4 linked regions of the Arabidopsis thaliana genome follow. The protein of the gene in region 1 interacts with the protein of each later gene in a pairwise test. Each region holds a gene or a part of one and is shown on either strand. Other genes may lie near its edges.

The links.
Region 2: the proteins of NPR4 (region 1) and AT3G08530 interact in binary tests that used the Arabidopsis thaliana proteins (3 or more experiments, as listed by UniProt).
Region 3: the proteins of NPR4 (region 1) and NHL3 interact in binary tests that used the Arabidopsis thaliana proteins (3 or more experiments, as listed by UniProt).
Region 4: the proteins of NPR4 (region 1) and LSU1 interact in binary tests that used the Arabidopsis thaliana proteins (3 or more experiments, as listed by UniProt).

Annotation. Positions count from the first base shown.
Region 1 is NC_003075.7:10,693,257-10,701,842, reverse strand, and holds NPR4 (NPR1-like protein 4), read left to right. Parts: upstream 1-3,050; 5' UTR 3,051-3,599; coding exon 3,600-4,118; intron 4,119-4,209; coding exon 4,210-4,948; intron 4,949-5,029; coding exon 5,030-5,577; downstream 5,578-8,586. Other genes in the region: AT4G19670 (RING/U-box superfamily protein), read left to right, coding at 501-923, 1,026-1,792, 2,052-2,460; AT4G19650 (Mitochondrial transcription termination factor family protein), read right to left, coding at 6,677-8,455. UniProt on the Arabidopsis thaliana protein: Salicylic acid (SA)-binding substrate-specific adapter of an E3 ubiquitin-protein ligase complex (CUL3-RBX1-BTB) which mediates the ubiquitination and subsequent proteasomal degradation of NPR1 in the absence of SA.
Region 2 is NC_003074.8:2,591,139-2,599,483, forward strand, and holds the start of AT3G08530 (Clathrin, heavy chain), read right to left. Parts: upstream 4,517-8,345; 5' UTR 4,274-4,516; coding exon 4,229-4,273; intron 3,877-4,228; coding exon 3,672-3,876; intron 3,566-3,671; coding exon 3,477-3,565; intron 3,360-3,476; coding exon 3,281-3,359; intron 3,206-3,280; coding exon 3,078-3,205; intron 2,976-3,077; coding exon 2,877-2,975; intron 2,797-2,876; coding exon 2,688-2,796; intron 2,581-2,687; coding exon 2,501-2,580; intron 2,418-2,500; coding exon 2,190-2,417; intron 2,104-2,189; coding exon 2,038-2,103; intron 1,911-2,037; coding exon 1,794-1,910; intron 1,701-1,793; coding exon 1,503-1,700; intron 1,420-1,502; coding exon 1,303-1,419; intron 1,207-1,302; coding exon 1,147-1,206; intron 955-1,146; coding exon 868-954; intron 743-867; coding exon 659-742; intron 571-658; coding exon 436-570; intron 348-435; coding exon 285-347; intron 205-284; coding exon 100-204; intron 32-99; and 1 more. Other genes in the region: KOB1 (elongation defective 1 protein / ELD1 protein), read left to right, coding at 5,375-5,761, 6,006-6,155, 6,293-6,345, 6,504-6,612, 6,702-6,836, 6,957-7,001, 7,102-7,289, 7,496-7,637 and 3 more.
Region 3 is NC_003076.8:1,928,844-1,935,756, forward strand, and holds NHL3 (NDR1/HIN1-like 3), read right to left. Parts: upstream 2,926-6,913; 5' UTR 2,869-2,925; coding exon 2,173-2,868; 3' UTR 1,953-2,172; downstream 1-1,952. Other genes in the region: AtPOT1b (Nucleic acid-binding, OB-fold-like protein), read left to right, coding at 70-262, 419-483, 618-706, 848-1,114, 1,207-1,283, 1,364-1,422, 1,521-1,673, 1,749-1,952; AT5G06330 (Late embryogenesis abundant (LEA) hydroxyproline-rich glycoprotein family), read right to left, coding at 6,118-6,741. UniProt on the Arabidopsis thaliana protein: Confers resistance to Pseudomonas syringae pv. tomato DC3000 (Pst DC3000).
Region 4 is NC_003074.8:18,373,467-18,379,961, forward strand, and holds LSU1 (response to low sulfur 1), read right to left. Parts: upstream 2,475-6,495; 5' UTR 2,254-2,474; coding exon 1,969-2,253; 3' UTR 1,767-1,968; downstream 1-1,766. Other genes in the region: ATG13 (Autophagy-related protein 13), read left to right, coding at 4,426-5,795, 5,859-6,026, 6,320-6,495.

The sequences.
Region 1 (8,586 bases):
CTTCCACTGGTAAGAAAGCTTCTGGATTTCTGTTCTTGCTTAATGATACTTTAATTTCAACCGATCTCGTTTTATTACAAAATCTCTGGTGATTTCTGCTACTTAAATAAATTAGAATTTTTTTCTTCCTTGAAATATGTAATAATTGAGGGTCTGGTTGGTGTTTAGTGGGTCAACAAATCGAGCTGCTTCTTTTGTTATCTTCTGTGTACTTTCAAATGATTTGGTCTCTGATTTATGCTGATCTGTTTATGTAACTTCATCAAGCTTAGCTGTTTTGTTGATCTGTAATGCAAAGTTCATTTTTTTTGTTCCCTTTCCTCTCTCTCTCAGTATATGGTATAATTGAGATTAGATGATATCTAAAAGAATTAGCTTTATCTCATTTTTATTCGGTTTTGTTTCATGAAATTTGCAGATCCGATATGGGTTTCATTGGTGTGTTGCTAAGTTAAGAAAGTTTGTACCTTTTTGTAGTTTAGATAGGTTTGTTTCCAGACATGGAAAATCAAGAGGATTCTTGTGAATGTGAGGAGCTTCCATTGAATCACTTAGGAGATGAGGAAGAGTTTAGAAGTTGTTGTGGTGATGAAGAACTTTGGTTAAAGGGTAGTGATGATATAGCTAAAGTTGTAGAGGAGGAGAAAAAAGATGATCTTGATGATGAGTTCTCTGTTAAGATGGTCTTTAAAGGAGTCTCGATATTCGAAAGAGGAGATTTGGGTTCTGGTTATTCGGGAATTGGTGTTGTGTTGGAGAGGTCAGGAGATTTGGAGTTGATTCAGGTTCAGAAGAAGTTGGATTTTTATGTCGAAGAGTCTGTAGCTAACTATTTAGCTCTTATGGATGGTCTTGAAGTAGCTTTACAGAACAATCTCAGCTCTGTGGTTGCTGTAACCGACTCCGAGTTGCTCTATAATCAGGTAAAGTCTCTCTTCTTTAGCTTGTTGAAGAGACTTGCTTTCATATGGTTTTGTATCTCTTTGTAGGTTTGAGCTCACGTTTTATATGAATTGACTTTGCAGATAACTCGTGAGGAGCAGCTCGAGATCCCTCTTTTAGTAGCTCTGAGAGAAAGGGTATTGGAGAAAACAAGTAACCTTAATGGGTTTGTTCTAAAGCTTGCTCCTTTCTGTGATCTTGATGAAGCTCTAAGCTTGGCTCAAGTAGCGGTAGGAATCGTGTCTTCTAATCTTGATGGGGATAAACCGATCGAGAACTGCTCGATCTGCTGTGAAGACCGTCAGTCTGAGATGATGCTATCATTGAAATGCACTCACAAATTCTGTTCGCACTGCATGAAAACGTACGTTGAAGGGAAAGTAAAGACTTCAGAGGTTCCCATCAGGTGTCCTCAAGTGCAATGCAAGCATTATCTCTCAGCAGCGGAATGCAAATCGTTCCTTCCCGTCACTACTTTCAAATCATTCGAGGAAGCAAATGTGTGTAGTAAAAACAATGGGAAGATTTACTGCCCATATCCCAATTGCTCTTTTCTGTTAGACCCGCAAGAATGTCTATCATCAGGAAGGGCTAGCTCAAGCTCGTCTACTCAGTCAGAGAATAGCTGCTGTGTGGAGTGTCCAGTCTGTGAGAGGTTTGTGTGTGTGGACTGTGGTGTTCCTTGGCATGCTTCTATGAGCTGTGAAGAGTTTCAGATTCTTCCAGTTGATGAAAGATACCCAGATGATATTACATTGCATCGCTTGGCAAGGTATAAGAGGTGGAGGCGGTGTCAGCAATGCCGTATAATGATCGAGCTTGCTCAAGGCTGCAACCACATGACTTGCCGGTAAGACACACATATATATCTATGGCTACACATTGTTTTCCGTATCTATACATATTTGAACCACCAAAGTTAGGTTTTTGACTTCCAATAAAATATAGTTAGTCTTGACCCTTTAACTGCAGAATCACGGTATCGTAATAACCATATGATTCTAAGGTTTTTTTTTTCTCGCCTACGTTTAAATCTAGTATTCTAGAGCAAGTGTTTCTTTTGCGATTCTTACGCATATAAATGTCAAAACTCTCTGTGTTTTCCGCAGATGCGGGCATGAGTTTTGCTACTCGTGTGGAGCAGAGTACAGAGAAGGGCAACAGACTTGCACGTGTGCTTTTTGGGACGATGATGAAGAAGAACAAGAAAACGCAGTAGAGGAAAACACAATTCAAGAAGTTGAGCAATGGCCTTGGGACACATTTAACTCAATTCCAACTGTAATGGACGCGTACTCAGAGCAAGAAAGATCTCAGCTTGCTCTGATCCAAAGGTTCTTAGCAGGTGGAGGGTTTAGTCTCAGTGATCACCATACTACTTATCAGTCACCGCCGCCTCCATGTACAGAGTCATCATATGTTGAAGCCGCAATGAAAGATCTTCATCAGCTTCCTTGGCTTGAGAGGTTTGTGTCTGTTATAAGTGATGATTACTATGAAGAGTATAATAGCCAGTGAAAGTAGTAGAATTGTAATTTAATAGCCTTGAGGATCCGGCTTGGTTTGGTTCAGAGAGGCCAAACGAGAGTATCTCACTCTCGAAAGTAATTGTTGGGAGGGTTTTAGATTCTTGATGAACTCAAACAAACGAATTGTGATGAAACTATTTGCAATTATAAGAAGAAGAGTTTGCTCATCTCCATTCTACAAATCCTGCAAGAAAGATTAACACTCTTTTATATTCAGTGTTATGTTATGATATTTAATCTACCAAAATTTGGTTGAAGAACTAATCAAAATGAACTTGGTTAGCATCATCATATATATACCAACTACCAAGTAAAGAAAAAGTTTGATAAATTCAATTATTCATGCTCTTCAAATAAAATACAGAACCCATTAAAAAGGGTCCACTTATCATCAATCTACTCTTGCATTATCTTGAGTTTTTGTGTAGACATAACATAACCCATTTTATAAGTTATGACCTTATTAGAAAGGGTCCACTTATCATCAATCTACTTAGCATTTTGTGTATATTTCTCAAAGCTGACGTTATTTAAGACGTCATAGACCCACTTCACCACAACTCAAGTCGTCTTCAATTGCTGACGACATTGCTTACGGTTTTTGAATCGTCGTCACAAAATTTAGGAGATTGGATTAGGAATTGGCTCTTTCTTTACTATTCTCCAAAGACTTTACTATTTGGTCAGTCTTCTTATTTCTCACCTTTAGCTTTTAGATAAACCTCTGATTTTTTTCTCCCATCTGTTCTGAGATTGTCTTCTTCTTCTTGAAATCTTTTTCATTTGTGCAATGATTTTGAAGACTACCCATCTATTCAGTTCTTTCTCTTATGATTTAAGTTTCATTTAGTTTTTTTTTCTCATCCGCCATTTTCGTTGACTTTTTGAAGCATTTCTCGAATTGACTTTGTTCTTCACATTGATTCATTAGAATGTTCTTTCATAAAGTTTGGATCTTTTCTTCAGGGCTTGATTAATTTCATATCTATGATCTTCTCTGTATTGTTTTTGATCCAATCACTTCTCAAAATTTGATCCTTGTCATTGGATTTAGATTTAGGGTTTTTGTATCCTTGGGGATTTGAAGATCAAAAACAGAGTCTTTGAGTGATACTTCTGGGGAACAAAATGGCTGCAACTGCAATAGAGCCATCTTCATCTATAAGTTTCACATCTTCTCACTTATCAAACCCTTCTCCTGTTGTTACTACTTATCACTCAGCTGCTAATCTTGAAGAGCTCAGCTCTAACTTGGAGCAGCTTCTCACTAATCCAGATTGCGATTACACTGACGCAGAGATCATCATTGAAGAAGAAGCTAACCCTGTGAGTGTTCATAGATGTGTTTTAGCTGCTAGGAGCAAGTTTTTTCTTGATCTGTTTAAGAAAGATAAAGATAGTAGTGAGAAGAAACCTAAGTATCAAATGAAAGATTTATTACCATATGGAAATGTGGGACGTGAGGCATTTCTGCATTTCTTGAGCTATATCTACACTGGGAGGTTAAAGCCTTTTCCTATCGAGGTTTCAACTTGTGTTGATTCAGTTTGTGCTCATGATTCTTGTAAACCGGCCATTGATTTTGCTGTTGAGTTGATGTATGCTTCATTTGTGTTCCAAATCCCGGATCTTGTTTCGTCATTTCAGGTTTGAGATAAAGTTTCTTTGTGATTTTGCTGGTAAATAATCTGTTCTTGATTGGTCAAGGCTGTAATGTTGTGTGTTGTTGTGTCTGCAGCGGAAGCTTCGTAACTATGTTGAGAAGTCACTAGTAGAGAATGTTCTTCCTATCCTCTTAGTTGCGTTTCATTGTGATTTGACACAGCTTCTTGATCAATGCATTGAGAGAGTGGCGAGATCAGACTTAGACAGATTCTGTATCGAAAAGGAGCTTCCTTTAGAAGTATTGGAAAAAATCAAACAGCTTCGAGTTAAGTCGGTGAACATACCCGAGGTGGAGGATAAATCGATAGAGAGAACAGGGAAAGTACTCAAGGCATTGGATTCAGATGATGTAGAACTCGTGAAGCTTCTTTTGACTGAGTCAGATATAACTCTAGACCAAGCCAATGGTCTACATTATGCAGTGGCATACAGTGATCCGAAAGTTGTGACACAGGTTCTTGATCTAGATATGGCTGATGTTAATTTCAGAAATTCCAGGGGGTATACGGTTCTTCATATTGCTGCTATGCGTAGAGAGCCAACAATTATCATACCACTTATTCAAAAAGGAGCTAATGCTTCAGATTTCACGTTTGATGGACGCAGTGCGGTAAATATATGTAGGAGACTCACTAGGCCGAAAGATTATCATACCAAAACCTCAAGGAAAGAACCTAGTAAATACCGCTTATGCATCGATATCTTGGAAAGGGAAATTAGAAGGAATCCATTGGTTAGTGGGGATACACCCACTTGTTCCCATTCGATGCCCGAGGATCTCCAAATGAGGTTGTTATACTTAGAAAAGCGAGGTATTGACCTAGTCGATATATATATTTCTCATAGCTTAAGGTTGATGTCTCTTTATTGAATTCTTGTATGTGTCATTGCAGTGGGACTTGCTCAGTTGTTCTTCCCAGCAGAAGCCAATGTGGCTATGGACGTTGCTAATGTTGAAGGGACAAGCGAGTGCACAGGTCTTCTAACTCCACCTCCATCAAATGATACAACTGAAAACTTGGGTAAAGTCGATTTAAATGAAACGCCTTATGTGCAAACGAAAAGAATGCTTACACGTATGAAAGCCCTCATGAAAACAGGTAAAAGCTTAAGGAAATGTACTTTCAAGTTTTATTCTCTGACCACAAGATTGACTGATTCGAAACCGTTCAACAACGCAGTTGAGACAGGTCGGAGATACTTCCCATCTTGTTATGAGGTTCTGGATAAGTACATGGATCAGTATATGGACGAAGAAATCCCTGATATGTCGTATCCCGAGAAAGGCACTGTGAAAGAGAGAAGACAGAAGAGGATGAGATATAACGAGCTGAAGAACGACGTTAAAAAAGCATATAGCAAAGACAAAGTCGCGCGGTCTTGTCTTTCTTCTTCATCACCAGCTTCTTCTCTTAGAGAAGCCTTAGAGAATCCAACATGATCTTGTCCCAGATAAGTAATGCTACTAGAGATAGTTCCTTGGAAGAAATTAGCTATTTTATAGGTTTTGGTTTAGAAAACAGTGGAGATCCCATTTTGGTATTCAGGTTTATTACATGGTTTAGGTTTGATTTTGTATTAAAGGAGATGGATTTTTGAAATGTATAAAGCAAAACCTTTCCTTTTTGCTTTGCTTCTTTCTTTAGTCAGAAAATTGTAATATATGGAAGTGAAATCGAAGCAACGATTGAGCAGAACGAGAAGCACAAGAAAAATGTTAAGCTAGTTAAAAGATTTTCAAGCTTCTTGCAAGAGAATTACTAAACAGGCACTTTCTCAGGGGAAAGATCCTCGTGTTGAATTAATCTCAATACCAAAATCTAAGCCTGCTTCTGATAGCAAAACAGGAACTAGAGAATAGAGATAGTTCCTTTGAAAAGATTGAAGATCCCATTTTGGCTTTAGGTTCAATTTGTATTACAAGGGATTTTGATTTTTAAAATGTGTAAAGGAAAAATATGATGCTCTGAATCCAAATCATTTAGAACATATTGCTTGCTTATTTGGTCAGAAAATTCTACTACTTGGATTTATGTCTTCAATTGTTACAAAAATATTTGCTTTCCTTTAGACCTGAACTGAAGCAGTCAATTACATAACACAAGCTAACTATTACTAAAGAGTATATGAATCACATGAGAGATCTTTCAGTAACCTGTAACAGACTCTGGACAAATCATCAGTACTGTCTCCTTCGAATGTTATGCGTGTCCATCTGTTTGTTTACAGGACAGATGTTGCAGGACAGATGTTGTAGGACGGCTAAGGAGGAATATTCCAACAAACAATTTGCAGATCTTCTCAGTACTATCTAAAGAATATTTCCAATGAATTCACGCAACATTTTAGATCTGCATCAAATCTGTAACTCAGCACATACTTCATTTGCTCTTTCACAAGCATCGGCTAACACTAATGGATCTCTCTGTTCCGGAATTCTCCAAACTCTTCCTTTTGATTCATTAGGTGGCATTGATATCAAAAACCCTTCACTGTCTCAGTTGTACTAAATTCAAGAAATAGTGCCAATAACCTTAACTTCAGGTAGATGATTGGTTTATACTTTCCCAAATGGCTGGACCTTCAGGGTGGACATTGACAAAATACTTCACAAACCGGGCATCACCGCAAGTGAGAATAGTGCTTGGTGACAGCATTGGCTTTGCTGCATCTCTTTCCCTCAACCATAAATACATTGAGAATCTGTGATGTATCCTCTGCATATCATAACACAGATATGCCGGGAACCTTACCAATGATTCAATTGGATAGCCAAGAAGTTCGGTTAAGGAATGTATCTTTTTCTCTATGACATCTTTAGACAGGTTAAGTATCATCGGAGCATGCCTGATGATCTCAGTAACCACATTATAGTTTAAACCGGCTTTCACAAGGCAATCAAATCTCTCCTGTAGCTGATCTCCCCTCCCTCGAAACTGTTTTAGAGCCTTCACCATCTCATCCGAGTTTTCTACATACCCTAGCCTCAACAAAAACTCTGTCTTCTCTAAGTATTTCCTCGAGTCTTCCGAAAGAGGTTTGCTTTTTCTCTTCTTCGTTGTAGAAACAAAACAAAACAATCTCAAAGGCTCTTTCTTTAAGATCTTACATAGCTCGTCTTGTTTAACATTCAAACTAAGACAAGCAGTTCTAGGTGCTGGCAGAGAGCATGAACCAATAAGCTCCATATGACTCAGCAAAATCTTCGTGATAAACTGCGTTTCCATTCTAATAGCAATCAAGAAATCCAACGTCTTCTGAATATTTTTCACGCATTTGTCTGACAACATCTCTGGATTGTCTATAAATAGCCTATAAATCTCATTCACTTGAAGCCCCGCTTTAAACAACCTACCAAACAGAACATAGAATTTCTTTCCGGAGCCTTCGATTACCAAAGCTGGATACGTTTTCAAAAGACTACTCAACTTCTCCTCTTTACATCCCACTTTATCAAGAAACTCTATTGTCTCCAGAATTCTGCGCCAGCTATATGTTTTCCGGTCAGACAAGTACCGCCCAAGCCAATCACATCCTACTTGTAACCCTTTCAACTTATCAACTACAGAAGAAAACTCAGCATCAATCCCACCAACCAGTAGCAAAGGGCAACTAGTAACTAACTTAATAACTGTAGCCTTACTAAGACCCAAATTCTCATAACCCCTTAGCTTCATCGCCAACATCCCAGATTCATATCTAAAAATCTCTCTCGCTTCTTTATACATACGGCCAATCTTACCACGCGGGATCCCATAGTTGCAAAGAGCATGAAAGTTCTCAAACATGATACCATCATCACTCAAAAACATTAGCTTCCGTGGAAGAAACGTTTCAAACTCATAAGGACACAAACCCAAACTCTCGAAAAACGGTTCAAACTCGTTTATCGGATTGTACCTAAGGAACTTAGTCAATCCCTTGGATACATCTTTCTGATTATCATCAATCTTAGACAACAAAGTCGACATAAAACAAGGAGAATTCTTACTTATATGCTCTGCATCAGTAAAAGTAAAGCTTCTAGTATAATGCAAGTAATCAAAAAGAGCTTCTTGAGCTTGATTCCTACTAGCCCTTGATACCGGATTAACGAAAAACCTAGTTGGTAAGTGAGACGAGTGTTGTTGTAACTTAGATTTATCCTGACGAACACAGCTTTCAATCTGAAAACTCCGAAATGGAACTGAAACACGAGAAAGGTCGAACCTTTGAACTGGGTTTTGACGAGGAATAGATGAGAAAGTTATACAGTAGTTGAGATTTGAAATCATATTCAACAGTTTATGAACTCTTCTCTGATTTCTGGATAATAACATCGCAACCTAACAACAAAGAGAAACAGGTGAAAGTCACAATCAAATAGAGAGCTATGAAGAATTCTCAATGCTTACTCTTTCAAGTAAGAAATTTACCTGAAATTAGGGCTTATTAAGCATTTGAATCAACC
Region 2 (8,345 bases), on another chromosome or scaffold:
CACCAAGTTGCTCACAGTACTCCTTGCAAGCCTGAAATTGTATGGACACCGTTAGTGTCAAAATAACCAATAAGATTCATCATATCATACACCACTTGCCTGAACAATTATCTGCAGATTGCCTCTCAGGTTGACCAGCAACAGATCCTTCATGCACTCCATAGCCCACTCGCTAGAAAGAGTGCCAAAAAACTCAACAAGAGCCTGCATATGGAGCAGAGTGTTATGCAACAACTTGACCACTTAGTAGGTTTAACAACCAAAATATATTTCAGAGGCACTACCTGTGGCTCGATAGCATGTGTGTTTACAATTACACGTTTTATATCAGGTAACTCTGAGTAATGCTGCACAAATCAAAAGGAAAAGAAGTTGGAAGGTGAGAAGATGATAAATCTATTTGGCCGGTAAAAATGGTAAAAAACATGTACCAACCTTCAAGGATTGGATATAAAGTCCAGCCTTTTCACAAAGTTGAGCAATGCGAGGCCGGTCATAGTGGGTGAACATCCCATTTGCTAATACCGCATCAGCCACATTAGGAAAAGTTACCAAATTTATCTCCAGAACCTGTGTTGAAAAATGATTTAAACAGTCTGGGGAAAGAAGGTGAGTAGAGAAAAAAACGGAGAGATACAAGGTGGCAACTATTTTCAACCTTAGTTTGCAGAAAAGCATGCTCAGGTAAATTTGGCTTTAGCACATCCAGAAGGAAAGAAGTCGCTTCACGGATCAGATTTCTCTGAATATGCACAAATAGACAAATAAGCACATGATAATTTACATCTACTGTATACAATTCTGTATATAGGAGTAGAACAAGTAATGAGCTACAAATATTGGTGCATACAGAATATATTGACCTACCTGAAGAAAAAGATCAGTGATGGTGTTGTAGTCAACTGGAGAACCTCCTTCCATTTGAGACATCATTAATGCAAAATTTACTGCTCCCTGCAAATAAAAATTAAAAGACTATTGATATTAATACGGTGGGAAAAAGATTCTTCATTCTATATAACATCAGGTCAAATTATTCAACAAGTTAGTTGATTCATAACTCTTCCAGTGCTTACGCCACATATATTCAGTAAAGTCCTTTCATAGTTTAGTATGTTGCAAGTATCAAGAGTGCACCACACTAACCTGAGGATCTGTACGGAGTATGGTTTGCAGAAGAAACAGGTAATCAGGTGTGTACCCAACCTGAAGTCACAATATGAAACAATGGTAATTCATGAGACAACAGAACTTTAGGGTAAAAATAATAGAAGAGGTTATACTATAGATCTTATTGCTTACCTGCTTTGAGTAAATCAGTATTTTGTCAAACTCCCTTCTTTCTGCAAAAGCTGCTACAACTTTTGGAGTCGCCCGAGCTTTGATGTATATTTTCAGAGCGAGATCATTATCCACAGTCTGGAACAGAAAGGTTTATCGTCACAACACACCATAGGAGACATATCACACATTTTGAATAAAATCGTCCATTTCAAGATTACCTTCACAAGGTCTCCAAGTTCTTCACTGCATTCTAGTTTATCCTCTGCCAACCAGTTTTCCAGGAGGTTCTTCTTGTTTTGGTTCACAACCAGCCGAGATAGTTCCAGTGACTCATATGAATTGAGTTTCCCTCTAGTCAAAAGAGTCCCAAAATACTGTAACAATGGAGGAGTTTGTCCAGCTTGTACAGGAACACTCTGCAAAATTATAGAGTTGAAAAATTGGTGTTACCAACATTTCATCATAAATAAACATGTTTACACATAGTTGCTTGGATATGAAATAGACACCTGGAATTTGGCCACTGTATCAGGTGTCCTTAGAATTCCTTGAGGAGATTCAGCAGCAAGCTCAGCAGCCTCCTTGTACTTTGTTTGAGCGAACAACTCCTGGAACCGCTGGACAACCTACAACATCCGAGCAGAATATGAGAAACTTCACAATACCAAATGACATTTTTTTTCTTCAAGCTGCCATTTAACAACTATATAATTACTTCACCGAGACAACAGATCCATGATAAACATCGCATACCAGATTTTCTGCACCTGGGAGGTTTCCTCTTTTAGCAAGATTGACAGCAAGCTCCAAATTGTTCAACTGTGATACAAAAGCATAGATTTCTTAGCATGACATGATGAAAAGGGTAGGTTATAACGGGAAAATAGCATAAAAGATTAGCATACTTGGCCACTAATAAAAGGTATAATGGTAGCCTCGTTTACTGTAGCCAAAAGAACTTGTCCTCGCCTATTAATGGCATAGAAACCCCCAACTGAGGAAGCTTCAGAAGTCAAGAAAATTGGGTCTGGACTAATCCGATTTCTGTAGATAGCAGAAGCAGTCTCTAGATCGTACACAAACAACAGGCCAAGTTTGGTGATAACATATATCAAGTTAAATTTGTGAGAGACCTGTCAGGAAAATGAGAAATTAGTGCCAGAAATTGTCACTAACTACTTACACATATAACTGAAATTCTAATGCAATAGCAAACCTGCATGGCAACAGGAAAATCATCAGCAAAATCAGGGGGAAAAAAGAGATCTGCTTGTTTTTTTGTAAATGATGGTTTTCCTGCAAAAAAATCGCCAACCTTTAAAGATCAGATGAATACAACCTAGAAAACGTAACCAATTATATTAAATAACAGTGAAGATATAGTTTTGCGTCGGGGAGCTAACCAGGTTGGGCACCAAGCTCAATGACATGCAACTTTGATGTTATCTGCCCAGCATTAAAGCTCTTGCTTGCAAATGATATAAGAATAGAAGGATTCTCATTCCCAGGAACCTAATATTAATAGTGTTGCAAGTCAAACTACAGTTCAAGATTAGACCATAGATGAACTCACCAAAGAACAAAGACGTTACCTTAAACTGCGCAAACGATGCAGCATGTGCCTCAAGGGCCTGACTCCGCTGTTGATCCACAGAGAAAAGCTGCATATTTCCTTTTACCAATTGTTGTCTCTACAGAAAACAGATAATAATGACAAGATCAGTCAAGAATCTACAACATGAAAGCAGTTTTGATGTCTTTTTTTGACCTAATATGTGGCGCAGTAAACTTACCTCAGGAGAGCCAGGAGCAATTCCAATTAAAACCAACCACTTCTCATTAGGAGAGCACTTATAGTTTATAATTTGATTGTTGGCCAAATTGGCTGTTCTATCAAACATCTTAACTGGCTCAGAATCACCTATAAAACCCGAAGGAAAATTAGAAACGAAAACACAAGATATGAAGAAAATGACAGTAGGCTGAAATATACAACCTTCAATTGACCAATGATAGACGGAATTCTGTGTGACCAGCCCCAACATCTTTGGTGTAATCCACTTCCAAAAGACAACCTGTAAAAACATGAAACATTATTATCCAAAAAAAAACCCGACTGAAAAATTCAGAGTTATACGAAGTGTATAGCAGGAACGATAATGGAGTTCAAATATATTTGCATCAACACTCACCTGCTCAGGCATCTGATGTGATTTCAACTTTGCTTTGGCTTCAATGTTAAATATCTGTAGATGATCCTGAGTAGTTCCTGGAACTTGAGCTACATAAATATTGAAGTAAAAAGTGAACATCAAGATAAGTGGATTATGAACTACGAATTCGAGGAAACCGTTATGGGTTTTAGATCAAAGGAAAAAATCAAGTACCTTTCAAGGCAAGGATCTTCGAGTTTGGGTTCATAAGAGCAGAGTCTGCAGTAATAGGCCTCCTAAGAGGCTGCATCGGCATATTCATATCTATAATTACAACACTGTTTTGCGGTGACGTCTCTCGTACACAGATATACTTGTCAGACTCCATAGTAACATTTGTAAACGTGATGAATTGCTGATTGATCCCGATGCTCGGAAGCTGGAAAAATCAAGATGAAGCGTTACGTCAAATAGTTCATTTATTTAGTTATGAGATCCGAGTACATAAGCACATTGCTACAGACAACAACTTGAAATTCGGCATTGATATATTAACGAAACACAGATCTGAGCATAGTTAGAGAAATCTGATCAGAAACATGCATTCCCAAACAAGCGATCCGGAAAAACTAGAGAGTAACACAACGATCGAGCAGAATTCAGATCAGTAGGAAACTGGAATCAATCAATCAAGAGACTGAACAGAGCTTAATCGTAGAAAATCACGGTCGATTCCAGGAGATACACATCTAAATATTCAAAGATAAGAGTGAAGAGTAAGGAGAACTCACCGTCAGGACCTCCTTCATCGTGATGGGGGCGTTGGCAGCCGCCATGTTTGACCTCAGATCACAGCAAGAGTAAATCCGGGGACGGAATCAAATATACGGCTGAGAAGTCCTGACCGCCAATGGCCAGGAGATAGAACCGAGACGAGAGAAAGACTGGAGAAGAAATGAAATCGCTGCCAGATCTGAAGCAAGTGAACGAGAAAGGTGATGGAAAGAGAAAGAAAATTGAGAAAAGAAGAATAACAAATATATATGGGTAAGTAATGACGAACAGCGATCCAATTAGAGTCTTACATTTATAACCAGGTCCGGCCCATATCGGTCCTTACTGGGCTCTAAGCATCCGAATTTCTAATGAGACGACACGTGAAATATTTTAATTGGTGCTTTTAAATGAAGGTACCTTAGGTGAAACAACAATAAATGACTTAATAATTAAGATTTGATCCAAGAAAAAAACTTAATAATTAAGAATGGAAGAAGTGTCATGACTTTTAATAATTTTTTTTAAAAAACTTAATAATTAAAGATTTGATACAAGAAAAAAAAAACTTAATAATTAAGAATGGAAGAAGTGTCATGACTTAATAATTAGAAACAAAACTTAATTAATCTGATCCAAAAGAAGAAGGAATATTATGTCATAGAGTATCACTGATGATTGCAGGTTGCAATTGTATGTTGCATCAAGTCATCCGTCTTGGTTCCATTCAGTTTTCTGTGATGAAAGAGTCATTTCCCCTGGTTGAATTGGTTTTTTTTTTGTTATATGGCTCTGTTGTTTTGTATAGGTTATTGTTGTTATTAGCTTATAGTGGCTTAGTGTGTGGAGATTTGTTTCTCCCTGTGTAATTGCTTCTGTTCTTTGTGTTGGTACATGTTTCCAATCTATCAATTCAAATCCAGTTGAGAAAGATTAAGAAAAAAAATGGAAGAAAATCTCCCAATTTTTATACATAATAAAATGAGATGAATTGATAATCAATTAGATTTAGTTAGTAAAGTTTAATTTTACCGATGAGATCTCAGACGACCAAAACACGAAAATAAAATAAAAAGAAAGATCTCAGAATCGCGTCTTTCTTCTTCTTCTTCGTCTTCTTCCTCCGAAACTTTTTTTTGTTTTTCAAAGTGGTGGAGCTAACCATGAAATCGACTCACCATCACAGAGCTCCACTAATATCTGCTTCTTCCTCATCTTCATCTTCTTCCCAAAACCATTCATTCGTCTCTAGGCTCCTCCTTCTCCTTACTCTACTTCCAGTTTCCCTTGCTTGTCTCGCCTTTATCCTCCAATGGCGAGGCGGTGGTCTCGCCGATCCTGCCTCTGCTTCTGTTCGTTCCTCTACGTCGGTTCCTGGCGGCTCCGATCTCAATCACGAGGTCTTTCCCGGCATGGAGACTGTTTCATCTGTCTCCCCAAAGTCTCACCAATCCTCCTCCGACTGCTCAAATCTAGCTCGCAGCTCTTCTCCTTCTTTTCCTTACTATGCTGATTGGAAGTTTGGTGTTGATACTAGCTTAAAGCCTAAGGTTACTACTTTCAATTCCCCTGATTTCAAGTCTTTGGATCGATCTACACTTCCAAATTCCTTTTTTTTTTCTTAAATCTTACTACAATGTCTAATCTGAAATATCAAGTTGTTCTTTTTTTATTGGATTATAGAGATTTGAGAAATACCAAAGTTCATTTTTTGATCAGATCTGTCTTTGTAAAGTCACCTCACTTTTTGTGCTCCATGTTGTATATGATTCTTGACATTGTTACTGTTTACAGATATGTATCACGACTAGCACATCAGCTGGATTGGATCAGATTCTACCATGGATGTTCTACCATAAGGTTCTAGGCGTCTCAACATTCTTCCTTTTCGTTGAAGGGAAAGCTGCTACTCCGAGTATTTCTAAAGTGCTCGAGTCTATTCCTGTGAGTTGAACTACCTCTCTTCGCGTCCACTGTTTATTTTGTTTTGGCTGTATATCTCTAGCTCTTTAGTCCTGTAGGTATAAATTTGTATTTAAGGTATGCAGTTTTCGATAAATGTAGTCCCATGTCTCTTGCAGGGTGTTAAAGTAATATACAGGACGAAAGAGCTTGAGGAGAAGCAAGCGAAGAGGTTAGTTAGTTATCCCATTGCATATTTGCGACAAAGCTATAGCTCTTCAAGGCACTAAACACATGTTTTGTTGTATATTCTGAAATTGTAGCATTGTTTTGTTGTATTTTCTACTACTGATCATTTTACTGTCATTCTTTTTTGTTTTGTTTCATCAGCCGGATTTGGAATGAGACCTGGCTTTCGTCTTTCTTTTATAAGCCCTGCAATTATGAGTTATTTGTCAAACAATCTCTCAACATGGAAATGGCTATTGTCATGGCTAGGGTAAGTATTTCTTTTAGACCTTATTTGGTTCAGTTTTGACTCATGTCTCATGTTACATTCTCATTTTTCTTGTTCTTACTAAATATCAGGATGCGGGCATGGATTGGATACTTCATCTTGACACTGATGAGCTGATATACCCAGCAGGTGCTCGTGAGTACTCACTAAGACGGTTGCTGCTTGATGTTCCTCCAAATGTGGATATGGTTATATTTCCAAATTACGTGAGTGATATCTCATTCACACTTCTTGCATTGCTTATTTTCAGCTAGTTTTGTGAGTCTAAAGTTTCTTTTATGATCTGGCCTTTGCTATGAATAATGCTTTTGGATTTTGTTGTTTAGGAAAGCAGCGTAGAAAGAGATGATATCAAGGATCCTTTTACAGAGGTATAATTCAGTTTATTACTGTCTTTACGTAAGAGAGTAGGTTTATTAATATTTGTTTGTTATGTTAGTATTACTTCTGAGATATGTGTGGTGCAAGCAGGTGTCAATGTTCAAGAAGAATTATGATCATCTTCCAAAAGATACATATTTTGGAATGTACAAAGAAGCAACACGAAATAATCCAAATTACTTTTTGACTTATGGTAACGGCAAATCAGTTGCTCGGGTTCAAGATCACCTTCGTCCAAATGGAGCACACAGATGGCATAATTACATGAAAACTCCCAAGTATGTCTATCATATATTCAAACATAACTAAATTTTCTATTGGTTGAGGAACATGATAGGACTTTGTTGTTACTCTAATATAGAACCATGTAACTATCTTAAAGGAGTTAGCAGTGGAGTGGAGTTCCGGTTAACAGCGTAGTTAATTTTTTCTGTTTGTGAAGCCAATTTTTTTTTGGAAATACTAACCTGATGATTCTTGCTAGTGAGATCAAATTGGAGGAGGCTGCTGTCCTACACTACACATATTCAAAATTTTCTGACTTAACATCCAGGCGTGATCGATGTGGCTGTAAGCCTACAAAAGAAGACGTGAAAAGATGCTTTATGTTGGACTTTGACAGATCTGTGAGCATCTTTTCTTAAAATCTCTAAAAGTCCTTAGTCATTTCTTAAAATCTCTATATTTCACTTCCTCTTACCCTTTTATGATGCTGTATGGATCAACATTGTAGGCATTTATAATTGCGTCAACAGCAACTGACGAAGAAATGCTAAGCTGGTAAGAGCCTTAGCATCGTTCTTGGTTACTTGTGAAATAGATAACTTCTGACACTCTTTGAACAAGTTTGGTCCTATTGTGATTACAAAAATATCTGGTCTTGATCAAAAAGTAATCTACCCTGTGTAGGTACCGTGAACACGTTGTGTGGGGTGACAAAGACGTGAAGACGAAACTCCTTAGGAAGGGTATTCTGACTCGCATCTATTCACCAATGGTAAGAACATACTCTGCAATTCATTATACAAAATTCCAAACACAAGTCCTGGAATGTTGAGTTCTTGCAAGTCAATTGTAAAATATTATATACATTTGTGGTAAAATGCAGGTTGTTATACAAGCATTGAAAGAATCTGGTGTCTTCAGCTCGGTTGTCTCATCAGCTTCTACAAATCTGTCAAAGAAAAAGTTCTTATCATCAATTCACAAAAGCAACTCATCCAGGTCTACTGCATCTGAGTCCCTTCCATCAAAGGAAAGCAAGTCTGAGGGCATCTCTGCAAGGCACCTTCTTGAGGCTGAATCAGCCATCCCTCCTTTATCGCCACCTGGGA
Region 3 (6,913 bases), on another chromosome or scaffold:
AGAAGATCAATTCTTCGTGGCTTTTGCTGATTTTGTTGTTAAACAGTTTTCTTCTGGGTTTAAACTCAGATTGTGCTGATTAACCGGAAAATCACAGCTCTCTGCAATGAAACAACCTCTTCGTCTTTTGCTTTATTCAATGGGAAACATAGCGTGGATTCTATACCTTACCAGTCCTCACCTAAATTCCTGATGAGAGAACAGGATAAGAACTTCTTATCGAATCTGAGAGAATGGATGATCACGTACAAGTTTGAAGATGGTAATTATGATGCAATATCATTTCTAATGAATTCTACTTATTCACTGAAATCTCTATATGCAAATGTTTGCTTCGTACTTTATCTCTAATGTGTTCTATGTCTTGGTGGTAAGTTGCGATTGTTGTGAGGTTTTGTTTTGTTTTGTTTTATGATAGGGTCATGCTGTTTCACATCCCTGAAAGATATCAAAGAAGGCGAATGTTCAAACCTATCTTGCCAGGTAGATTGATCATTCCTTAAAAGAATATGTTTTGGTTTTACTTTTCATGTTCATTTGTATTTATGGAACTGTAAGTGTCTTTTATGGTCTGCTATGTCTTTGACATTGTTTCTCATTGTTTGTTTCCTTTGAAGATTGTTCACATTTCCAAGGTCTATAAAGATAGATGGTACCTCTTTGTTTGGGATGGAACTGAGATGCCACCCTGCAACATCTTGGTTAAGTAAGTCTGAATTTCCTCAACCAAAATACAACGAGTAAAAATAAGTTTCTCTTATGCGTCTTATATTCATTTACTAGATTTTGGTCATATATCCCAAACGTGTTACTCATCTCACTCTGTTTTTGTTTGCAATCATAATAGGTCAGAAAGGCTTCCTTTATGTGTAGAACCCGAGATGTTGCCTACATACATGTTACGTAAGTTTCCTACTTTTGGTTCCGTTTTGAGGATCATAGTAGATAGAGTTAGTGAGAAGCAGGCCATTCACTGTCTTCAACCTGGTCAACACGTGAAGCTTCTGAACCTTTTCTTTCAAGTAAATATGGGATTATGGAACGCCACTTTTACTCCCTCTACAAAGATGCAGTACACAATGAGCAGAGAGATGGAAGCCTTTAGTCCTCAAAGGTTTCTGCTGACACCTTTTCTTATCCTGTGAGTTGATGTTCTGCTTCGTCCGTTTGTTCTTCAGTTTAAAACACACTTTCTTACCATTTCAGAATGTGTGGGGAGAAGTTTTCACCGAGATGGAACCCAATCGCGCGTTGCATTAGTCGTTCACATTCTGAAATCACAGGTAATAACCAGCTAATTGTTTGGAATTGTGGAAATTTGACATAACGTTTAATATAATACTTATGGTTTAATCTTTTCTAGGGGTTGCCCATGACGATGCTCCATTTGTTTCTCTGATGGACATCCTGACCTATCACAATGTAATGTATCCAAAAACCTTGGATTTATCATAAGTTGTAGGAAAAGAGTATAGTGAAAACTTTCTTGAATTGATGTTTTACTGATGCTTATTATGCAGGTGACTGCTAAATTCAGGTGTGTTGTTCGGTTCATACAAGTGTATCCCCGAGACGTCAGAAAACTCCGTGATATCAACGGAAATATCAAATTGGTAGCTATACTAGAAGATGCAACCGCCAGAATCCATGCTTCTCTATATGCTGATGAAGGGGTAAGTAAAACACGATTAATTATTAGTGTTCATTGAAGGATTGTCTAATACTTATATCTGTATATCTTTTTACAGGAAAAGTTTTTCGGGTGTGACGAATCTGATGAAGAGGCTCTAGTCAAGAAGCTGAATAGATTGTTGGGAGGTGAAGAGATGGAGAAAGTGCCAAGAAATCCTCCATGGGTACAATGTTGCTTGTTCTCATTCTACAAACACAAAATGGATCAGTGGGAAAGCAGAAGATTCCGCATTTTTGATACTTGGATCAATGCTTCATGAGACAATCATAATGCTAATTGTATAGTTATTAGCATTAAACAAAATGTGATTATTTATTTACATGGAACCATACAATAAAACATTACATAAGAAAAATATCTCTCTCCAACGATATGTATGGAAGATAATAAAGCAAAACAATCTAAAATAAGAATCAATAAACAAGTGTAATATGATGAACTCGAAGAAGACTATAATAGCATTGACTCTTGACTAGCAATCAAAAGTCAACGTCACACTTGGTCGGCTGAAAAACAAACCCGCTGGTTGAATTAGAGGTAAGAGGAACCTTGAGATCGCACTTGATCTTGGGCTTGAACCTCCACGACTTGATCAACCCAAACTTAAACCTAATCTTAAGTCTCAGCTTGGCATCGATCCTATAGATCTGAGAATTCACATCCTCGTTCAAATCCTTCCTCTCTCCGCCGTCAAGCAGCACCAATTGCTGTCCCACGAGTTTAGTTCCAACCACCGTCGTGTTCTTATGTCCCTGGTAAAACTTCGAGATGTTGTTACTCATACCGAATCGCTGATCACCGTAGTATCCTCTGACTTCGATTTCATCATAGTAAACACCGATCCGGCGGTTAGGGTTACGGATTGTGAAATTGAGATCGAGATTGTATCGGAGGTTGTTGGTTGGGTCGAGTGTGAATTCGGTGAGTTTAGCGTCGGTGACGTGGAATTTGATAGCGTTGGGTCTGAAAATGAGCCAGATGATTAGAGCAGCTATGCCTAATAAGACGGCTATGGTTATGAGGATGTTGAAGATGACGCTTAAGATACAGCAGCCGCAGCAGCCAAGACAGTCACCTAAACAACCGCATCCACCGCCGCGTCTGCCGTGGCTGTGAGAGACTTTCTTCGGCGGTGGAATCGATGGTCCGTAATACGCACCGTTTAAGTCCGCCATCTGTTCGTTAAAATGCCTCAGAGAACGATTTTGAAAGAAAGTTTTTTTTGGTTTGTGATAAGATTTTGAAAAAGTAAATATGATTTGAAGTGAAGAAGAAGAGGCCGTAATATATATACACTGTAGAGATAACGTGTATTAGATAAAACGATTTAATTTGACGCGGTTTTGTTTTTTCAAAGTCAAAGGTGACGCGTCGGTTTAATATTGTTCGATGAAAATTTGATTTAAGTAGAGGTTACTTGCGAGATTGTTATTAGATATTTAGGATTAACAGTTTGATATACATTAAAGATTGTTTCTTAAATTTTACTATATGGTTTCTTCTTCAATTTGACTATGTATACTTTGGTTAAGCTTAATGAGATTATTTCTTGAATCCATATATACATGATTTGGTGATTAATGAGGTTAGTGCCGATCGCATACAAGAATATCCATATGTAGATATTTATTTATATATTCTTTTATTATATAAGACATGTGAGAATGTGATGATACTTAGTGCGGTAGTTAGTTTGTGAATTGTGAATAGTCATTTTTACAATGTAACTAAGCTTCCGAGAAACTTCCCCAAAAGCGACTGCTCTAATATAGCCATTGTTTCTTAAACTTGACGAAAGACTTTTGAGAACAAAAATAGAAAATGTGGCCAAAATATCAATAAGCCTATACAAAGTTAGAAAAAGACAAACCAGTCCCGGTCAAGAATTTCGACATTATATATATAACATGATGAAATGAAATAACTTTGATCTATAGGTTGCAAGTTGAAACTGAGGTGGGGTTTTCCAAATGTTTATTTTATAACTATGAGAACAGTTCTACTGATAAAGGTTATTTAATTAATTATCAATTAATGAAAATGTTTAATGTGAAAGATTTCTCAAATTCAAAGAAAATTAAACATTGCAAAGACTTGTTAATGTTATAATGCTAAAAGCAAGGAAAACTAAGGGAGGTTGGTGTTTAGAGTTGGATGATGTGACCTGTAATTGAAAGGAAGATTAGGTGAAGCCATGCTTTCAAATGTTTACATCTTTCTTCAATGAGAAAGGTCAAGCATATTTAATAAAGAATAATAATACTAGATCGCAACTCAATCATATTAAACTTTAAAACAACTATGGAGGATTTATAAAAACAAATGTAACAACTAAAAAAAGTATTCTTATAATATGAGATGTAATGTGTTTTATTTATTTATTAAAGTAGTCAATGTAGTTTAAGAAATTTTTATGTGTTATACGGTATAACAATAATTTTCATTGTATATGATAAGTAATACACAATAATTTTAAAGAAAAACCTGGTGATGAACAAACGTGTTTGAAAAACTTGTTAGAGTTTAATGCGGTGTCAATGTGTGTGGTGATAAAACATTAAACTAAATTAGACAACAAATATTTCACGAAGACTCCTTCAATCTTAGCCGTTTGGACGAAATAGATCATTGGAATTGGACAAATAAATGATGAAGACTTTGGTTGTTCTTAGGGTTTTGAAAATGGAGGAACCGACGACCGATCCCTATCTACTCAATTCCGATATTCATCCGAATAAATTATTGAGAAATTGCGTTGAATAGATGTCCACTAAAGTTTAAATGGACATATATCTAAGGAAGTAACATATAGGGTATACTTTTCATGTAATCTATTACTAATTCTAATTTGGTGGTTGTCACCATAATTTTGTGTTGTTAATCATTGTTAAAATCTGGAATACAATACGACTCGAAAGTCGAAACTGTATCGTGTTAACCAGTGGACCAATGATACAACTCCATGATTCATTTTACTTACGTTATCCTTTGGTTATGAATGTTTATTCTATGTTTTGGTTATGAATTTCTCTAGATGAACAAAATCGAATCTTTATGTATATATTCAAGTCTTGATCATTTACACGCTTAATAAAATGTATGACTTCAAAAAGGCAAAAAGGGAAGGTTATGTAGACAATTGTGTGTTTTTATCATCTGCTTTTTTACAGTATAACTTCGGTTCCAAACTAGGATTGTATATTCATGGATTGATGGGCGTAAAGTTTCTCATCATGCTGATCAATTACCTAGATTACGTATGGCAAATTTTCAGTACAATGTTTCGAAGATTTTCAATTAAAATTATGTTTATATACAAACTGGATTCGGCAGCGTGTATATGTACAAAGGAAACAAAACACGTGGGAGTTAGTAGATAAATGGGACTAAGATTAAAAAATTGCATAAAAAATCGTTCACAAACACATCAAATATTTGTTGGTGACGAATCTAACGAACAAATTGCGTACGTTATGCTCAAATTGGACCTCGCTCTTATGTACATTTTGAATGTTCTCACATTGGACTTCTTTCTGAAATACATATACATATCGAATATAATAACAATAGCACATGTAATGAATCATTTCGCAAGTTTTCTCTCTTGGAGAAAGTGGATTCCAGATTGAGAATTACGCCTACAAATCTCTTAACAAAAGAGGCAAAATTAGTCGAAGCAGTTGGTTATAAGATGACTTCATTATTAACCCAAAAAATACATAATATAGAATATTCGTGGGATTCGAACGTTGGAGAAAAATACCCTATTTCTTGTAAAATAAGCAACATGATTCTACTTTTTATCATTTCAAGATCCAAGAATATTTAGGAGACAAACTAACCAATATATTAGGAATATAGATTTGATCAAGAGTTTTTCCTTTGAATGTACTGAACTGTTGTAAAGAGCCAACTTTAAGATCTAAACTTTAATGGGAAATTGAAAAACTATATGAGAATGGGTCTTGATTCTGTTTTAGAAAAAGAAAAAAAGACAAGATACTATAGATAATGACACCGTACAAATGGTTACCGTTCCGATCAGATATTTCTAAAATTCAATTGTCGTCACTCTGGATCAGCACAAAATCATAGTCAATGAAACAAGAGAATATACATTATTATCATTATATAGAAAACAGTTTTTAATTGAATCATCCATCATAAATTGTTACCAACTGAAATAAAAATAAACCTTTTTTTTTGTCTTTTACTATATTTTAGTGTTTCCTTTGAATCTTTTACAGCTCGTCATAACAATAACGCAACCGATTGCAATTCTTGATATTATTTCTCTATGACGTAGGAAAAAAAAAGTTATAAAACTTAACTACTACGAGATTATATATAAAATATATTACGTTATTAATAATGAAAAAATCCGTGACCGATACCACCGTCACCGTTAAGTACCTCTTAATTTGTCAAACACTAACACTACAAGTTTCGGTGAGCATGTACTTTCCGACGATAACTCCGGCAGCACTACTCCCGAAGTTGATAAGCGCATGACATCTAACGTGGAGATGATATTTTCCGGTGATGAAGGATCCGACTTTCCAACGAACTCGACCGTCGAGATGAAGCATCAACATGATCGCGCCACTTGAATGGTCCTGATCGAGATAGAAAGCGTTGTACGGAGCCACAGGAACGGAGTATCCACCGACGAAAGGAGACCAAACGTTGACTTCTTTGTGTCCTTGATAAGTGGTAAGCATGGGACTCGGCAAAGTGATCTGTTGGCTCCGGTAAGAAGCGTAGACGTCAAGACGGTCGTAGTAGATACCGATCTTGTCGTTAGGGTTACGAGAGGAGAGAGTGAATTGGAAATTTGAGGTGAGGAGGTTCGGTGGATTGCCGGAGACGTTGAAGTTGAAGACGGTGGCGTCTTGGAGGACGAAGCGTGGTTTCGATGGTTGAAGGATTGCCCAAACTAGGAGAATTACGACAAGGATTAAGAGGAGGATTATTGATATCGTCCAGATCACTATTTTACGGTTGCATGATGAGTGGCTGTCGTGAGAGCCACAGTCTTTTGAGGTCATAGCTCCGGTGACGGTGGTGTGGGAGGTTTGGTGGTAGAGAGAAAGTGAGAATCTTAAAATACTCTCCGTGACCTTTATATAGAAGAAGTGTATATAAAGATAAAAGTACTTGTAGAAAAGATATAAAAAGATAAAGATATCTTTTCTATATAGTCTTTGTAGAAAAGTTATT
Region 4 (6,495 bases), on another chromosome or scaffold:
GGGGCTGTTTTATTACATTAATCTAGAAAATGCAACATCAGTACATACATATCCATGCATGATAGTATAAGTATATCTGGCCTATTGTAGATATGTATCCTATATCCCAAATTTGACACATTTAAGAGAAAATCTCATATTCTATCAAAATTTTCATATAATTTGCTCATAGTGATTAGGCAAAAATCTTATAGTTATATTCCTTAATAGCTTATTAAGATGTCAAATTTCTTTTATCATCATCACCATAATTATTAGATACACAAAAAATTAGAAAATCATATTAAGACGTTAATTAGTATTATGCGAATTAGTTGAATATTAGGAATCGGTGAACGTCGTGGAGATACATATGGGTGACGTCACCAATCACGTCGATGTAATTGTCATATCCCATTTCTTCGTGCCTCCAGTGGACCACTTCTACTTATCCCAAGTCAATGGCCGTCGCACCAATGAAACACGTAACGATTATTCCTACTAATTCATTATTCTTGAATCCACCAATATTAGTCATTAAACCCATTAATCTAGGCCAAAGTCTAAGCTATCTCTATTTCCTAAATTGTTCATGGAACTATAGTTAATTAATTACAGTTTGGTCACCCGATATCAAAAGAATTATAGCTTTGTAAACAGTCAAATTCGATAGTCGATATCGTAGACAAATGATTCCAATAATGGTAGATCCTTCTTTTCAAGAGATATCAAAATCAGGGATAAAGTAGCATAAGAAAAAAGCCAAAGAAGAAAAAAAAATCATGAATAATCGTTTGCCCAATTATTACAAAATGCCAAAAAAAGCTGCGACATGAACAAATTCGGAGCGTGGGATGATCACATTTTAGACCATACAATTTGATTGAGTTCCTATACTGTCCAGGTTCAATGTATCTGCTTTCTTGTCCGGTTTAGTCTTCCAAAATTACATACTGGCTCACTTCGGTTTAATTTATTCTAATTTGGTTCAACTTTGTTTAGAATGAAAAAAACACACACACACACATCTTTCTTGAAACAATTGAAGTTTCAATTCATTTTTGGCAGGCATGGTTTACTCCGGTACCGTTGTTGATTAAATAAGAAATGGTAATAATTTTAAATCTACGCATGGCATATTCTCATCGTCAACGGATACTATCTCAAATTTATTATGATCAAAACAGTTAATTAACAGCAAAACAAACAAAATCACGTCAAAATCGAATGTCAATATTCCTCTTAATTTGCCAGCACCACATATCTTCATACTATTTTAAATGATTTTTTTTTATATTAACAAAATAAATATATAATTAAATGAAATAGAAACAGAAAATGACCCTTGAACCAATGGAAAACTTACACAATTTCATGTTTCACGTCCCCTAAAGACTATTGTTATGGTTCCATAGAAAAATCATTGAACCATTCTCTCCTACGGTTTCCATTGACCACAAAAAAAAAATCCTGAAGTTGTGGAAAATTTCCATGAAACTCATGTACCCAAAAACCCTTTATTTTTTTCTACACTCAAGTTTCAATTAACTCTTCTACGATTCCTTTGAAAATTATGGTAATGTAGGATTTCATGGAATTTAAACTTCAAAGTTCTTCGATCCCCTTCGAGTCTCCAATACCTACTAGTTCCATAAAATTATTTTGATAGTTAAGATTGACATTAGATCTCACTCATATATTATTACTTCATTACTTAAACATGGTATCATTCCAAAATATTATTTGCTTCCATAAGAACTTTTGTAATTAAAAGTCAAGACAAAATATGCAACTAGTACCAGAAATACTAATTCATTAGAAATGGAGTTCAACAATTTGTATGATTATCAGAAATTCTAATTTATTCACTAGAAATGGATTCAAACATTTAATTTATGTTGAAAACATAACATATTACCATCGATCTATATACATGTATAGTGATTGTCACATACACAACTATACATAACTTATGAGAAATATCTTATTCTACGAGGAAGAGACGACAGAAGAAGAAGAGAGACGAGAGATTTGATCCATGAGGAAGAGCATGCGATCGTGATAGTCACGTGCCTGTTCTAAAGACTCGACCTCCAGCTCCGCCAGCTGCGAGCAGAGTTGCTCTTCCGCCTCCTCCGCCACAACCGTTCGCTGCCACAACTTAATCATTTCTGTCTTCATCTCCGCCACTTCTCTCGAGAGCTCTATGTTCCTCCTCCTTAGCTCATCCATCTCTTCCGCCGCCACCGTCACGCATCCTCCTCGGTTCGCCATTAAGATTCTTTGTGTAAAAGGATTTGATTGTGGTTCTAACTTTGTTTCTTGATTTGTTGAGTGTTAGGGTTTGATTATGTTTCTTTAATAGGCGCTTTGTGTAGCTTTTGCATGTCCAGGTTCAATGTATCTGCTTCTTGATTTTTATTTCTCCTCACTTTTGATTTCGGTCAATATTTTCTCCTTACTTGAAACTTAAACATACTCATGGCTTATGTATGCATAGACCACCCCAAAAGAGAAAATTTACTATTTTTTTCGAATGTTCAATTTTTTTTTTTCGTTTTTTTATCACAGTTTCGCTAGGTTCGATTTAAATATTTTTTATATGAAACTTAAACCAAATTAATTTCGAAATTTCCGGTTTATCCATGTTATTAACTAGTTTTAACTTTAAAATTAATAAACAAATTGCCGTCTATACAACTATAAATTGATAAATGGATAAATATATGTTAACGTGTAAATAGAATAGTAATTAATAATTCTAATGCCGTGGTTTACACAAATTCAATTTAATTATTTATAAATCTCTGGTCCGTCAAATTTGTAATAAAAATGTGTTGGTCTGATCTCTGATGTATGTATGTGGTATATATTGATTACATTATTGAGTTAGTAGGGCTTGAAATAGGTGACGTCTGAAGCCAATCACTATAGTGTTTCTCACTTTCTTGTGATATTGTGAGTTTGTGACAAGGATTTATTCTTTAGATTATTAACTAACAAGTTAATAATTTGGGAAAACGCTGCCGCTTAATATTGCGTTACTTATATTATGATTGAAGAACTATTATGGGATATTTCACGACATCATACATCTACAACCACTATAAAATAGAAAATTAGTGTACTATCACCAAAAATATATTTCTCCTGTTCCATGAAATTTGATGTTTTAGATTTTTTTTTGTTCCATAAAAATTGATTTCTTAGGTTAATATTATTATTATTTTTATTAATGACTAATAGAGAGAGGAAAGAAGTAGAAATTATATTATTAAATTAACAAAAAAATAATATAAATAACATAAAAGTTAATTTTCTTAATTTGGGTGAAAAACCCAAAACATCATTCTTTTAGGAACATAGAGAATATATAATAGACATTTACAACTTATACATTTGTTGATAACATGCAGTATGTTAGTTTGAATACATATTTTTCACAACAGTAATAATAACAGTTGTTAGAAGACTAAACTACATTGTAAGAATCGCTTTCTCTTGTAATGATACAATATAACATATAACATTTAAAATAAAATAAAAATCTGTAGGTTTTAAAATGTTAGCTACGTAGTCCATAACTTCAAAAAACCAATGGTTTTGAACTCATTCCATAGTGATGATTGCAAATACATATTATCTGGTTTACAAAAAAAAAAAAAAAGTGTTCCAATTATCTAGAAATGTTGGGCCTAATGCTTAAACAGTAAGCCCATATACTTAAACATCCGACTTGGCGCATTTGCTTCACCTTCTCTACCAAAAAAGCGCGTGAGATTCAGGTTCACTGTATACATTAAGAGCCTATTGTCTTGTCTCCTGTAAAACCAGAAGAAAACAAAAATTCAACAAAGGATAACAAGGACGTGGCTATTCTTCATTGGCTGCATTCACAAGAGTCGAATATTAATTAGTAATTTCACAGTATAGTACATTAAGATTAACGAGACCTATTGTCTCCTGTAATTGAGGCAACAAGATAAGGGTAAAACGAGAAAAACAAAAGAGAACAAAGACGTGGCTATTTATCATTGGTTGAATTCAATATTAATTTAATTAGTAATTTCACAGTGTTCTCAAATCGTGATCGTGTGTGTTTCTTCTACCTCTGAAACTCTTTTTGTTTATGTTGATCATCATCATCGTCATCTGCGTGTAAAACACACTCACGCCATCGTTGACGTCTCAGATCTTCACATAAAAGCTTCTATTATCAAACTCTCTTCCTCACGGTAACCCTAACTATCTGTAATTTATCTCTCTACACTTTCTTCATCTCTTAATCACCTTAATCATCTTAAGCTTTGTATTTCTAGATCCTTCTCCCAAAACAACGATTCGTGATCTCCGTTCTCATAGATCAGTTTCGGATTTGGATATTTCTTAGGGATTTGTGTGAGATATTTTTAGAATTGTTTCGATTTAGGGATTTGTGTGAAGAAGATGGATTTTCCAGAGAATTTGCCTTCAGATATAGGAAGATTAGAGCAGATTGTTTCTCATTTCTTCCCAAAAGCATTACACATAGTTCTTAATTCCAGAATCCCTTCGTTGCAATCTCGTGGTCGTACTCGTGAGCGTTTATCAGGTCTTAACGTTAGAAAAAGTGACAAATGGTTTAATCTTGTGATGGGAGATCGTCCTGCTGCGTTGGAGAAATTGCATTCTTGGCATAGGAATATTCTGGATTCTATGATTATTGATATCATTCTTGTCCATCCGATTTCAAACGATAATTTGGATGATGATGATGATCATAGTGATTCTGTTGTTAGATCAGCTGAGACTGTGATTGAGCGTTGGGTTGTTCAATATGAGAATCCTTTGATTATGTCTCCTCAGAGTTCTGACTCTGCAACGCGTTACCAGAAGGTTTACAAGAAATCTATCATTCTGTTGCGGTCTCTTTATGCACAGACTCGGCTTCTTCCTGCTTATCGTGTCTCTAGGCAGCTGAGTTCTTCTCTTGCTTCTTCTGGTTATGATTTGATTTACAAGGTTTCATCTTTCAGTGACATATTCTCTGGTCCTGTGACGGAAACAATGAAAGAGTTTCGTTTTGCTCCTGTTGAAGTGCCTCCTGGTCGTCTTTGTGCATCGGTTACTTACCGTTCTGACTTATCTGATTTTAATCTCGGTGCTCATATCACATTGCCTCCGAGGATTATAACTGATTATGTGGGAAGTCCTGCAACAGATCCTATGAGGTTTTTCCCTTCTCCAGGGAGAAGTGTTGAAGGCCATTCCTTTACTGGTAGAGCTGGTCGGCCTCCATTGACTGGTTCATCTGCAGAACGTCCGCATAGCTGGACTAGCGGCTTTCACAGACCTCCAGCTCAATTCGCAACACCGAACCAATCTTTTTCGCCAGCTCAGTCTCATCAGTTGTCACCTGGGTTACACGATTTCCACTGGTCACGTACAGATGCTTTTGGTGACAATCACCAGCTTTCACCTCCCTTTTCACCATCGGGTTCTCCATCTACTCCAAGATACATATCTGGGGGTAACAGTCCGCGCATTAATGTGAGACCAGGGACTGCTCCAGTGACCATTCCTTCTTCAGCCACGTTAAATAGATACGTTTCATCTAACTTCTCTGAGCCAGGTAGGAATCCACTTCCTCCTTTTTCCCCCAAAAGCACAAGACGCTCCCCTTCATCGCAGGACTCTTTGCCTGGGATTGCGTTGTACAGGAGTTCTAGAAGCGGAGAGTCTCCTTCTGGATTAATGAACCAGTACCCTACTCAAAAGGTTATGCTTCTTACATCTTATGTGTCTTGCTCAATGCAAGAAAAATATCACTATATTTTGTATTGCCTCATCTGATATTTTGTTGATTTATTTATATCTACTCTTCAGCTGTCAAAGGACAGCAAATACGATTCAGGCCGCTTCTCAGGAGTTCTGTCTTCGAGTGACTCACCAAGATTCGCGTTTTCTAGGAGCCCCAGTAGATTATCTTCCCAAGACGACTTGGATGACCCTGATTGTTCATGCCCTTTTGATTTCGATGATGTTGATGAGTCAGGACTTCAGTACAGGTTGGCTTTATCCCACTACCTAACTTGAATCATTCAAAGGAAATATTATATACTTGGATTAGTTTACAGAAATCTTTACACATAGAGCTGGTCAATGACAAGATGCCATGAAGAAAACACTAATGTGTTGGCTGTTTTGTTTAATGTGAAATTGTTGGCATTCACACTCTATACTTGGCCTTTCTCTTACTGTTTCTTTATCATTTTTTGGTCTGTCAAGTTCACTTCTTCTTGGGTTTTTTAGTCTTTGGTAGTAAGAAAATGACAGATATTTTGCAATTTTTTCGATGCAGCCATAGTCTTGACCGGAGGAAAACTTCAAGCTCTATATCGCAGTCGCTACCTCTAGGGAGAAGATCATCACAGGACGCAGCGGTTGGTGTTCTGGTTCACATGCTGAAGACAGCACCACCATTACGACAAGACTCAAGCACTTATATGGCGTCAATGTCTGGGGTTCAGAGAGAAG